Saccharomyces cerevisiae S288C: one gene and its partners. The gene in region 1 interacts genetically with each later gene. Each region holds a gene or a part of one and is shown on either strand. Other genes may lie near its edges.

The links.
Region 2: mutations in MAL12 (region 1) and SMA1 together harm fitness more than expected from each alone (negative genetic interaction), as found in Saccharomyces cerevisiae (one large-scale study listed by BioGRID).
Region 3: mutations in MAL12 (region 1) and LCL2 together harm fitness less than expected from each alone (positive genetic interaction), as found in Saccharomyces cerevisiae (one large-scale study listed by BioGRID).
Region 4: mutations in MAL12 (region 1) and LSP1 together harm fitness more than expected from each alone (negative genetic interaction), as found in Saccharomyces cerevisiae (one large-scale study listed by BioGRID).

The regions. Positions count from the first base shown.
Region 1 is NC_001139.9:1,074,965-1,078,884, reverse strand, and holds MAL12 (alpha-glucosidase MAL12), read right to left. Parts: upstream 2,287-3,920; coding exon 532-2,286; downstream 1-531. Other genes in the region: MAL11 (alpha-glucoside permease), read left to right, coding at 3,072-3,920.
Region 2 is NC_001148.4:497,657-500,924, forward strand, and holds SMA1 (Sma1p), read left to right. Parts: upstream 1-2,008; coding exon 2,009-2,746; downstream 2,747-3,268. Other genes in the region: ATP-dependent RNA helicase SUV3, read left to right, coding at 1-63; ERG10 (acetyl-CoA C-acetyltransferase), read left to right, coding at 440-1,636; putative serine/threonine protein kinase SKS1, read right to left, coding at 3,019-3,268. UniProt on the Saccharomyces cerevisiae protein: Involved in spore and ascus formation. Required for the efficient assembly of the precursors of the prospore membrane to a continuous prospore membrane.
Region 3 is NC_001144.5:344,876-347,554, forward strand, and holds LCL2 (Lcl2p), read left to right. Parts: upstream 1-1,709; coding exon 1,710-2,105; downstream 2,106-2,679. Other genes in the region: DNA replication initiation factor CDC45, read right to left, coding at 1-1,066; tRNA splicing endonuclease subunit SEN2, read right to left, coding at 2,172-2,679. UniProt on the Saccharomyces cerevisiae protein: Probable component of the endoplasmic reticulum-associated degradation (ERAD) pathway that acts upstream of HRD3 and USA1.
Region 4 is NC_001148.4:550,058-553,644, forward strand, and holds LSP1 (lipid-binding protein LSP1), read right to left. Parts: upstream 1,601-3,587; coding exon 575-1,600; downstream 1-574. Other genes in the region: AEP3 (Aep3p), read left to right, coding at 1-249; ULA1 (Ula1p), read left to right, coding at 1,963-3,351; ESCRT-II subunit protein SNF8, read right to left, coding at 3,570-3,587. UniProt on the Saccharomyces cerevisiae protein: Together with PIL1, main component of eisosomes, structures at the cell periphery underneath the plasma membrane that mark the site of endocytosis.

The DNA of each region.
Region 1 (3,920 bases):
TTGTAACTCGCCTGAGTGTTACGTGAGATTACATATAGGATCGAACTATCACGAAATCAATTACGCTGTGTTATTGAATCATAAAATCACAGAGCTTCCCGAGAAAACGCTAAATTATGTGTCAAGTACTGCGGACATCTCTTAACGCTATCTTATATTCATTTCACTTTTTATATCTAGTCCTTTTCTTTTCTTTATTAAATAAAACTACCACCTTGTATGATTCTTAGCAAGACATTTCAGCATTAATACCAGCACAGGTTTCTTCTCCCTTGTTTTCATCCGAAGAGAAAGGATAGTGCTTCTTATGCCTCATTAATAATTTGGAATTCACATTTATATACACGCTAAATATCATAATGAACGAGGGTCATGTAGAAAAACACATTTACCCATAATGGTGAAACAAATTATCAACAGTGCTTTTACGCTATCATCATTTACATATAAAAAATTTATCTAACAAAAATCATGTGAAAAATCATGTGTTATTTCGTTAAAGTACGCGCTAAAAAAAAGCCGGCACTAATTTTATTTGACGAGGTAGATTCTACCTTCCCATGGTTTCAAAACTCTGGAGGAAACGTCAGTATCATCATAATTTCCAAGAATAAAAGATAAAGAAGCACCTTCTCTTGGGAGGCTGAATTCAATTTCTTCGCCACTGAAATTTAAAGCAGCAAACAGCGTCTTGTCTTCGTACTCTTTAGTGAAGCTAAAGATCTGGTCACTGTCTAAATCAATGAATTGGAAATCGTAACCATAAATCATAAGTTCCTTATATTTCTTTCTGGCTTGCAAGGCCCTTTTCCAAAAATTGAGAACTGAGTCATCATCTCTGGATTCCTGCTCAACATTGATTCCTTGCTCGAAAGATTCATTCAAGAGAAACCAAGGTTTAACATCTGGGCCAGTAAATCCAGCATTGGGCTTATCTTTCGTCCATGGCATGGGAGTTCTCGAATGATCTCTAGAAAGTAGGGCGATTCCTTTAAAAAAATCCTTCATTTCCTTCGAGTTTTTACCAAAACTTTTTTTGATAATCTCGTAGTTGTTTTTCACATCAACGTCCTCATACTTTTCAATAGGCCATTCCTTGAAATTGATCTGGCCTATCTCCTGACCTTGATAGACATACAACGTACCTGTCAATGAACATTCTAGCAATGTTAACAGCTTACCAGATATTTTACGGTACTTTGGCGAATCGTCAGCAAATCTCGTAATTGACCGGGCTTGATCGTGATTCTCGATGTAGGTGGTAGCCCAACTATCAGTACCGTTAATGAACAAAAAGTTCGATGCAATGGCTTCTTTCCATTGTTTCAAGGTGAAGGGCACTATGTTATAACGGAAAAATGGCGAGGTACCAACTTCAACGTGCGTGAAGGAGAAAACTTCGCTGACTTCGTATCTAGCTGCACTGGTGTATAAAGCATTATCACTTCCATGGGCAACTTCACCGACTGTCATTATTTCTCTACCATCTTTCACCCTGTTTTTCATAAATCTGTGTAGTTCTTGATGATATTCATGAATCCTAGGACCATTGTGAGACCCCCAATTTGGATGTTGTAATTTCGAGGTTTTGTCAAAAATTGGGGAATCTGGTAAACCAGGACGTTTCGAATACAAACCAGCGGTATCGATTCTAAAACCATCTACACCATGGTCCAGCCAAAATCCAACAGCACTTTCAAAGATTGCCCTTCTGCAGTCTTCATTCTCCCAATTCAAGTCAACTTGACGACTCGCAAACAAACGGAGGTAAAATTCATTTGTAGTTTCATCAAAAGTCCAAGCTGAACCACCAAAGAAAGATTTCCAATTGTTTGGAGGAATTGGCTTGCCTTCGGCGTCATAACCCTTAGGAGGTCTCCAGAAGAACCAGTCACGCTTCGGATTGGTCTTCGAGGATCTGCTCTCTTTGAACCATTCGTGTTCTGTAGAACAGTGGTTGATAACCAAATCGGTGATGAATTTCATACCCAGCTTATGAGTCTTGTCAATTAGCTCAAAACAGTCCTCATTGGTACCATATGTGGGCCAGACCTTTTCGTAGTTGGATATATCATACCCCATATCTTGTTGAGGAGAGTCATAAAACGGACAAACCCAAATAGCATCAACGCCAAGATCTTTAATATACTGCAACTTGGAAGTGATACCTTTTAAATCACCCCAGCCATCGTTATTGGAGTCTTTAAAACTTGCTGGGTAAATTTGATAGATTGTGGCCTCTTTCCACCACTTTGGTTCTGTTTCTGGATGATCAGAAATAGTCATTTATGTAATTTAGTTACGCTTGACTGATGTACATTTGAGATTATCAAAAAAACTGCTTAAGAGATGGATGATTTAATTTTTTAGAGACGTATTAATGGAACTTTTTATACCTTGCCCAGAGCGCCTCAAGAAAATGATGCTGCAAGAAGAATTGAGGAAGGAACTATTCATCTTACGTTGTTTGTATCATCCCACGATCCAAATCATGTTACCTACGTTAGGTACGCTAGGAACTAAAAAAAGAAAAGAAAAGTATGCGTTATCACTCTTCGAGCCAATTCTTAATTGTGTGGGGTCCGCGAAAATTTCCGGATAAATCCTGTAAACTTTAACTTAAACCCCGTGTTTAGCGAAATTTTCAACGAAGCGCGCAATAAGGAGAAATATTATCTAAAAGCGAGAGTTTAAGCGAGTTGCAAGAATCTCTACGGTACAGATGCAACTTACTATAGCCAAGGTCTATTCGTATTACTATGGCAGCGAAAGGAGCTTTAAGGTTTTAATTACCCCATAGCCATAGATTCTACTCGGTCTATCTATCATGTAACACTCCGTTGATGCGTACTAGAAAATGACAACGTACCGGGCTTGAGGGACATACAGAGACAATTACAGTAATCAAGAGTGTACCCAACTTTAACGAACTCAGTAAAAAATAAGGAATGTCGACATCTTAATTTTTTATATAAAGCGGTTTGGTATTGATTGTTTGAAGAATTTTCGGGTTGGTGTTTCTTTCTGATGCTACATAGAAGAACATCAAACAACTAAAAAAATAGTATAATATGAAAAATATCATTTCATTGGTAAGCAAGAAGAAGGCTGCCTCAAAAAATGAGGATAAAAACATTTCTGAGTCTTCAAGAGATATTGTAAACCAACAGGAGGTTTTCAATACTGAAGATTTTGAAGAAGGGAAAAAGGATAGTGCCTTTGAGCTAGACCACTTAGAGTTCACCACCAATTCAGCCCAGTTAGGAGATTCTGACGAAGATAACGAGAATGTGATTAATGAGATGAACGCTACTGATGATGCAAATGAAGCTAACAGCGAGGAAAAAAGCATGACTTTGAAGCAGGCGTTGCTAAAATATCCAAAAGCAGCCCTGTGGTCCATATTAGTGTCTACTACCCTGGTTATGGAAGGTTATGATACCGCACTACTGAGCGCACTGTATGCCCTGCCAGTTTTTCAGAGAAAATTCGGTACTTTGAACGGGGAGGGTTCTTACGAAATTACTTCCCAATGGCAGATTGGTTTAAACATGTGTGTCCTTTGTGGTGAGATGATTGGTTTGCAAATCACGACTTATATGGTTGAATTTATGGGGAATCGTTATACGATGATTACAGCACTTGGTTTGTTAACTGCTTATATCTTTATCCTCTACTACTGTAAAAGTTTAGCTATGATTGCTGTGGGACAAATTCTCTCAGCTATACCATGGGGTTGTTTCCAAAGTTTGGCTGTTACTTATGCTTCGGAAGTTTGCCCTTTAGCATTAAGATATTACATGACCAGTTACTCCAACATTTGTTGGTTATTTGGTCAAATCTTCGCCTCTGGTATTATGAAAAACTCACAAGAGAATTTAGGGAACTCCGACTTGGGCTATAAATTGCCATTTGCTTTA
Region 2 (3,268 bases), on another chromosome or scaffold:
CATAAGCCCTTTGGTTCTACAAGAGGTCACCTCTCATCTTCGAGAAGAAGATTGCGTACATAATCTACGATATATCCTGTAAATAGAAACAGCTACACTGCTTGAAAGCCTTAACATGATACATTTCTGGTATGATGCCATTGTTGTGCCCTGCCGGGTTTATCGTTTCCTAACAGGCACGTCACTTATAACGAGGTGCCTGTCGTTTACCGCCCAAGCCGGTTTTTTCGCTGGAGAGTACGGTACTACTAGCCCACCACACGTTCGTGGCCAGGTTGATAGGCCACCGTTGAGCAAAGGGCAGTAAAATATATAAAAGAGGAACAAGCGCTTCCATTAAGAGCACTGCTAAGCCTACTCGTTTTCTAGTTCTCTGAAAAAAGGTAGCCTAAAACAAGCGCCATATCATATATATTTATACAGATTAGACGTACTCAAAATGTCTCAGAACGTTTACATTGTATCGACTGCCAGAACCCCAATTGGTTCATTCCAGGGTTCTCTATCCTCCAAGACAGCAGTGGAATTGGGTGCTGTTGCTTTAAAAGGCGCCTTGGCTAAGGTTCCAGAATTGGATGCATCCAAGGATTTTGACGAAATTATTTTTGGTAACGTTCTTTCTGCCAATTTGGGCCAAGCTCCGGCCAGACAAGTTGCTTTGGCTGCCGGTTTGAGTAATCATATCGTTGCAAGCACAGTTAACAAGGTCTGTGCATCCGCTATGAAGGCAATCATTTTGGGTGCTCAATCCATCAAATGTGGTAATGCTGATGTTGTCGTAGCTGGTGGTTGTGAATCTATGACTAACGCACCATACTACATGCCAGCAGCCCGTGCGGGTGCCAAATTTGGCCAAACTGTTCTTGTTGATGGTGTCGAAAGAGATGGGTTGAACGATGCGTACGATGGTCTAGCCATGGGTGTACACGCAGAAAAGTGTGCCCGTGATTGGGATATTACTAGAGAACAACAAGACAATTTTGCCATCGAATCCTACCAAAAATCTCAAAAATCTCAAAAGGAAGGTAAATTCGACAATGAAATTGTACCTGTTACCATTAAGGGATTTAGAGGTAAGCCTGATACTCAAGTCACGAAGGACGAGGAACCTGCTAGATTACACGTTGAAAAATTGAGATCTGCAAGGACTGTTTTCCAAAAAGAAAACGGTACTGTTACTGCCGCTAACGCTTCTCCAATCAACGATGGTGCTGCAGCCGTCATCTTGGTTTCCGAAAAAGTTTTGAAGGAAAAGAATTTGAAGCCTTTGGCTATTATCAAAGGTTGGGGTGAGGCCGCTCATCAACCAGCTGATTTTACATGGGCTCCATCTCTTGCAGTTCCAAAGGCTTTGAAACATGCTGGCATCGAAGACATCAATTCTGTTGATTACTTTGAATTCAATGAAGCCTTTTCGGTTGTCGGTTTGGTGAACACTAAGATTTTGAAGCTAGACCCATCTAAGGTTAATGTATATGGTGGTGCTGTTGCTCTAGGTCACCCATTGGGTTGTTCTGGTGCTAGAGTGGTTGTTACACTGCTATCCATCTTACAGCAAGAAGGAGGTAAGATCGGTGTTGCCGCCATTTGTAATGGTGGTGGTGGTGCTTCCTCTATTGTCATTGAAAAGATATGATTACGTTCTGCGATTTTCTCATGATCTTTTTCATAAAATACATAAATATATAAATGGCTTTATGTATAACAGGCATAATTTAAAGTTTTATTTGCGATTCATCGTTTTTCAGGTACTCAAACGCTGAGGTGTGCCTTTTGACTTACTTTTCCGCCTTGGCAAGCTGGCCGGGTGATACTTGCACAAGTTCCACTAATTACTGACATTTGTGGTATTAACTCGTTTGACTGCTCTACAATTGTAGGATGTTAATCAATGTCTTGGCTGCCTTCATTCTCTTCAGGCTCTATTAATTTTAACCGTTATAAGTTCCTTTTCTCCCTTGGAAGCAAACATCAACTGCCTTAAAATCTGGTGGCGAGGAAAGAGGAAATGGCATGTACTAATGATGGTCCTAATAAATATCCCGAAATTGTGAGTGTTAAGCACCTGTTCCAACATTCGGGATCCAAGCATGAATTTAGTGCTGGTAAACGATTTTCAAAATCCATTGGTAAAATATTCAAACGAAACTCTGCTTTGAAAACTTCTAGAACTGAAACGGCAAATCATAAAATGGAATTGAAAAAAAGAGAGGGTGTTACCTTATTGCCACCTGTCCCAGAATCATTATTACATAAACTCAATTCTTGGTTGGAAACTTTTTCTTCCACCAAGAACATGAAAATCGAAGAAAACAAAATTGTTATTAATGAAAAAGAGATTCGGGATTCAGTCTCTTACTACCCTGATAAGAATGGAGGAAGTGCTGTATTTTGTTACTTGCCCGACCTTGTGCTATATTATAAGCCGCCTATAAAAGTCACAGGCAAGCAATGTCCAATAAAGAGAAGTCCTTGGGAATCGATGGAAATCCAATATCAAAAGTTTATGTACCCCTTAGAAAGGTTGGAAAGACAGTTTGAGGAAGTTCCATTTAGGCCCTGGTATTTTGCAATGCGATTAAAGGAACTTTACAGATGCTGTGAAAGGTCTTTTACTAACGCGGCAAATAGAGGAAAGGCAAGGTTATTGCGGGGGAAGCAAAGGACGAAAAAATCGTATCATAAGACTGTCAACCTGGTATCAGCGAAGATTTCCACCCATTCAAATGCGCCGTCGCCGGGCTGAGAAACAAAAAAAGTGACTAAGTTCTGTCATTCTATCATTATTGTAATTAGTTATGTAGGACATATATATCCATAGTGATCTCCTTTTGATCAAAGAAGACACTGAAAAGTCGTAAGTTCGTAAAAAAAGTATGAAAATCGTTCCAGCCATTGCTTATAGCCATCCTAGTAGGATACTAGAAAAAAAACAAACCTCAAAGATAAAAAGAAAAGGTGAAGCTATTACCGAATTAGAACATAAGATAATACAGTGAGTATAAAGGTGAGACCTGCTCAATAATCTGGTAACCATTTCTCGTTTGGACCGTCTGTTAAAGTAGAAAAATTCATTTGTAAGCATAATAGCCTATTTCTTAATGTATCTTGTTGGAATTTGCAATCTTTGGAAGCACTAACGTCATCGATATCAGATTGGTAAGGTGTACTGTCCATTGAGGAAGTTAAAAAGGTACTATTATTGTGGTTGTTAGTGTATTCATACTTTTCCATACTTCCGTCACTATTATACGTTGATGGAATATCA
Region 3 (2,679 bases), on another chromosome or scaffold:
TCCCATTTTCATTCCATAGGGATAGTTTGGCATTGACATAGTTAGAATAATAAAAACTGTCGTACAATGAAGAATGCCTCAGTAAGAAAAGGTAGTAATCCGGTTGGATGTTTAACGTCAATGTATCAGGGGTCTTTACTGAGTTTCTACTGCTTGGTGTGAGACGCTTCACTTCATCTTGCAATAAGGGGTATAATCGATTGTAAACTTGAGCATATGCTATATCTAACGAGGTCGTACCAAGTATATTCAACCACAGGTTTGAAAGATTTGTTTCTCCGATAGCAGACAATAATGAATAGATTTGTGCAGATATCGAGTTAACCACTGTTGTGCCTTGAGAATAGTATTCCTCCAAAACACCTTCATATTCATGGATTTGCTTCTTTCGTTGCTTTCTTTTTGAGAGATCATTCGGTCCTATTGAAGAATTACCTCTTTTATTAGATATTGTCTCATCTTCGTCTTCTTCGTCCTCGTCTGTGACTTCATCGGCATCAGTTGCCTCATCGTCACCCCCATTATTATCGTTCTCGTCACCTGAGAGCTCATCGTCACCACTCTCCTCGTCCAGTTCAAGCAATTTATAGTATGCTTCTTTTTGTTCGCCTAATGTGTCATCCACCGTACCGTCGTCAAAACATTGGATGATTTGTGATCCAAATATATTGTCGAGATTCCACGGTCTATGAGCATCCAACACGTAGATGTCTCTCCTGAAACTTTGTTCCCCCGACTTTTCATCTGTATCGATAACATACTCTTGGGGATCGATTTCTAAGAAAGCCTCCAGATCAATAACGCCTCCAAACCCTACTAATAGCAGACTATTTATATTGTCATCCAATTGAGAATAGTGGCGTCGTAATTCAGAGTACCCAAATATCGGTACTATTTGAGATTGTACCAATTGTTTTTTGAATAATAGTGACAACATCTTCGTCGCACACAGCGCATCGATGTTAAGACAAGAAACGAAAATGACCAATTGACATGATGAATGAGACGATGAATTCCTTAAGATTTTGTTGTAGGCTTCGCTAAACTGGCTGATTCCATAATACATGTGCGAGAGTATATTCTTGTTATTATGTGCCTTCTCTCTAGTGTTTATTGCTACACTTTTATTGCTCTATAGTGCGTTGTATAAAGTAGCCACAATGGATTGTTGGCATTACTACAGCTTCATTATTTACTGAAATTTCTTAAAACGCGTTAGATGATATGTTGAAAAAAAAATACGCGTCGTGAATGAAACTTATTAGGTTTTACGACTAGTTAAAGCAAGAGAGAGAAGATCGAATTGACTAAATGTCTTCACTTTGAATTTATTCTAGTAGGATTCGCATGGCTTTTTCATAATAAAAATCTCGTTTATTTATGCTTTTGGTTGGTTTTCCTTTGATAAATGCGGCCCTTGCTTTGTTTGTGGTTGCAACGAGTTCGTCAAATGATAAATTGACGCTTAACACAGACGCATGGGAACCACGTAATTGAATTAATGTTTTCTTCTCGAAACAATTGCAATGTGACTTTCTTGTTAGGCAATGTGAGATGAAAGATGGCCTTTACCTTTGCAGATGTTTGGGTGTGGCTCTGAGCTGTCCTTTATAATTATAGAGATAATTTTGATGAAAGCTCAGAAGACCTTTAATGACGAAAAATAGGCATGGTTTGCCAGGCAAAAAACGACCAAATTTTACTGTAGTATGAGTCAAAGTCGCTGGAGTATCGTTCTCATCTTTGCATTGTTTATTTTTGGCAGCACTGGAGTGAATGCCTTCTTCAATTTCGGTCATCATCAGCAACAGCAACAGCAACAGCAACAATCATATGAAGATCAAGTTTTAAATAACCCTTGTGATGGGTATTTGTGTCCGGACACCCTAACGTGCGTTGCACAGCAGAAAGACTGTCCTTGTCCCTTCCCTAAATCTCAGTTGAAATGTGTCCTTCCTGATAATAAATTTGTTTGCATATCCAAACCAGCCACACACAATGAAAAGTTTAGAGCAATATATGATGACCCTGTCAAGGGCCCCAAAGCAAAGAACAAGGGGTTTAGGGATTGTGGATGGGTATCAGATGCTTACAAAAACCATTGAAATCTGTATAAAAAATACATACACATACATATATACATACGAAGGATTTATCTTCTCATTGATATTCTAGTCTCTATTTCTTCCGGGAACCCATCTCTTATACAATACTTCACCAACTTGAAAACTATTGAACAATTTAGTAAAGTTGTTTGATTTCCATAGTGCTATCGCCTCCTGTTCCGAGATTAGTCTCTCCACGTAGCATAACACAAACGTCTTCTTTGCGCCGCCCACAACACGGGCTATGCTAGAATACCACGTATAATCTTTAGAGACGTCGTGGTCAAGACCCATAACACAAAATTCAGCGTGTTGAAATGGTGGCCCTCTCTTATATAATAAATAATCGCAGCCGAATTTTATACCAGATCTTACGCACCAACCGTGTGATCTGTAGTGATGGTATATAACGTATGATCTGACAAAGGAGTGAATATCTTTATATTTGGCATCGAATTGAAACAGTTTCCCTGCCAGGCACGCGGGAGATATGTCAAGAACAGGAAGTGCAAAAGTTAAAAACATAGCTTCCACTGGCATTAGTTCTAGTGACTCTAGTGGCAAAAGATCACCG
Region 4 (3,587 bases), on another chromosome or scaffold:
TCACAAAAAAAAATACTACGTTTTTTGGGTTGTATCCCCACTACTTTACGCTGCACCAATACAGCACAAGATCATCAGAAGCCCACAAACCTACCCTCAAACATTTCCCAGAAAAAAAGAGAATATCGAAATCGGGTTAAAGCAATAGCCACAAAGGCTGCTTTGGAAAAAAGAATGGCGTATATCAAAGACAATGATGTAGCTTTCAAAAAAGAGCTAGTAAAGAGGAGAATAGTTGGGGAGGTTTGATGAGGGAGGCATAAGTGCCCTGGCATTTGGACAGGAATTTTATTAATATAGGCATTTTTATTGTACATATATACTTCATAGATCATATTCATTTAATTAGACTTCGAAAAGTTGAATCTCTTACGGCAAAGGAGAACAAGAGAAAGGTTAATTATTAGGTCTTATAAAATTTGTTCAATTAATTATAAAGGTGATTACAATACCGGAATATTGGCCGAACAATACTTGAACCAAATTCAGATGAAATTAATAATAGGTAGACACGAGCTGGTGAAAAACAAGCACAATATAGAAAGGTTCGAATATATTAATTATTAGAAAAAACTCAGATGTTTTCAGAACCGGAGGTATGACCGTTTTGACTAACATGATGATCGGCCTCATGGGCTTCATCATCTACAGGAACTTCAGTAGTCCATTCAACTTCCTCTTCTTCGACTACTTGACCGGGGATATCTCCATTTTGGATTTCAGGTTCTTCTTCTTCTTCACCATCTTCGTCTTCATAGACGTCATCAACGGTCTGATGAAATGAAAGAGTTGGTTTGACTGCAGCCATGTCTAGGGTCCAAGATTCCAAGGCCGATTCAGCATCCATAATAATTTGGCGAGAAGCTTCATAGCCATCGTACGCTGGTCTAGCTTCACCTGGAGTGACAGGAGAGTCATCTAGCAGCTCCAATAAGGCCTTTCCGTATCCAGCAATCAGGGCAAATTTTTCAGAAAGCTCTCTTAATGAATCAAACATATAACTATAAGCAGCCTTTAATTTTTCACGTGTGATATTCGATAATTGAGCCTCCGCAACCAAAGATTCAGCTTCGGCACGAACTAGTTCTTGCTCTAAAACTGGGATTTTTGTTGATTGAGGATCTTTATATTTCAAATGGGCAATTTCATCTGTGATCTTTTCCTTACGATCTCTCGAAGGTTGAACAGAGGCTTCAATGTTCCTAATTGATTTTAATGTGACTCTGTATTGATCATATTTATCGATGAACTGGTCCTGTAGTTCACCCAACTCATATATTAAGACGCCTAATTTGTCGGTTACGTCGGAAACATCATCATCATTGTCAGCACCCCATAGAGACAGTTGCTTTGCAGCTTCACGGCGTTCGCTGGCAACAACTTCCATAGCTCTAAGGACACCTTTTTCAGTCTTAACCAATTGAGATAATTTACGAGCCAACTCTGGCCCAAAGTTACCAGCCGCATTTTTTCTAAAACTAGACGCAATAGAGGCCTTTCCGAAGAACTTGGACTTCGTTGAGGATGGTGGTGGTGGAGGAGCTTGTAGCTCAGCAGCCGTTGGAGCTCTTTGATTTCTTAAAGAGTAAGTTCTGTGCATTCTTGTGTTGGAGCTTTGAAAGTTTAATCTTTCGTATACCAAATAAAGAGAATTTACGGTCAAGCATTGGAATTGAGGAAAGAGGTTAACTGATTTTTTTCTTTTCTATCTCACCTGTTTATATATTGCGATTTAGCCGTTGCATCTTCCCGGTTTTTCCGTCTTTTTTTTAAAGGGCCCCTTTTTATCCCCTCTAACGCCTTTCGCAATCCCCTTTTCACTCGGCTGCAACGAGCGGGGTTGTAAGAGCTAAGCTTTCTAGCCTAGCAATGAAATAGAAGGACAAGTCAGACGATTGACGTCAAAAAAATGAGTCGCCTCTCTTTCTTTCTTAGGCCAACTAGACAGCCGTAGATGAAAATATGGAAAGATATGATAGACAGCTGAGACTATGGGGAGCATTGGGCCAAGATAGTTTGAACCGGTCCCGTGTGTGCGTGGTAGGACCTGCTACACCTTTGCTGCAGGAAGTTTTTAAGAATCTGGTGCTTGCCGGAATATCATCTCTTACTTGGCTCAAAGTAGAGTGTGCAGTTCAATCGGGTTCTCTGTTTTTAGCAGAGCTTAAAAAAGATCTTGAGCCATTGGCTTCTAAACAGCTAGAATATGAGGAAAATGACCTTAGAAAGACGTTACAGCAACCTCAGTATGATTGGACCCGCTTCTCGGTGGTGATCTTGACTTGTATTGGTGAGCAAACTGCGATGCTCGATTTAAATGAGATTAGGCGGCAGAGAGGAACAAAGTTTCCGCCTGTTCTAAACACTTTCGTCTCTGGATTTTATGGATATATATATCTGGTACTCTCAGAAACACATTTTGTTTTGCAAGCACACCCAGATAGTAAGAAGTATGATTTACGGTTACAGAACCCTTGGCCTGAACTAATAAATTACGTAGATACATTTGACCTAAGTAAAATGGATACAGCCACGTTTTCTGGTATTCCATATACTGTTTTGCTCATGAAGTGTATTGCAAAACTTGAAAGGGATGGTAATAATGGGAGGATAACGATTGATCAGATGAAGAAAGTTTTAGACCAAATTTGCCTTCCTTTAGGGAATGATGTTATCTACGAACCCAATTATGTGGAAGCTAAACGCTATGCTTACTTGGCCTGCTCTCAAAATGATTGTTGTAAAGAACTGGAAGATCTGCTCCGAAATTTGGAAATATCAGATTATGGGAACGATTGGCATGATACTTATAACTACGAGATTCTCACACTATTATTGACTTTGAAAAATATTGCTAAAGAGAATGGGGAGCTCAGCTTTCAACCTTTAACGGGCACTCTCCCAGATATGGAGTCAACAACGGAAAATTATATCAGACTCAAGAAACTGTATGAAGTAAAAGCAAAGCTTGACAAGTCTCGTGTGGAGGAAAGTTTGGCTCGCAGTAAAAAAATAGTTTCACAGGATGTCTTGGAGACATTTTGTTCTCATTACGGGGAGGTCAGGAAAATATTGCCGCCAAAAAGTGACTTGTTAGGTATTTTTAGCACCTCGAATGCCCTTTTAGATGCATTAGTTATGGTCCAATTCTGGGAGCAACCGGCAGTAACTGCAGAGGATAAAGATGAGTTTATTGGTTTACGAGTCGACGATAACTATTCCGTAATGGCCTTTTTTGGAGGTGCAGTGGTTCAAGAGGCTATAAAGCTTATCACACACCATTACGTTCCTATTGATAACCTATTTTTATATAATGGCATTAATAATTCATCCGCAACATATAAAATATAAAATTTTTTCGTCAGCTCTCCGAGTTCATAGAATGCTTATTTTATTGTACTTCCCTGGTTTGCGTTGATGCAAATAAAGACTAAATGTAAACTTTTATGATGCATATGATATCGAATGTTTACAACAACGAGAGATCACCGGTAAGAACTGTGCTCAATAAAATACAACATCGATAAATACTTAACGCTCATCCACCATTCCTGTTCAAGTCAACTATCTCACAGTTGCCTCGTAAT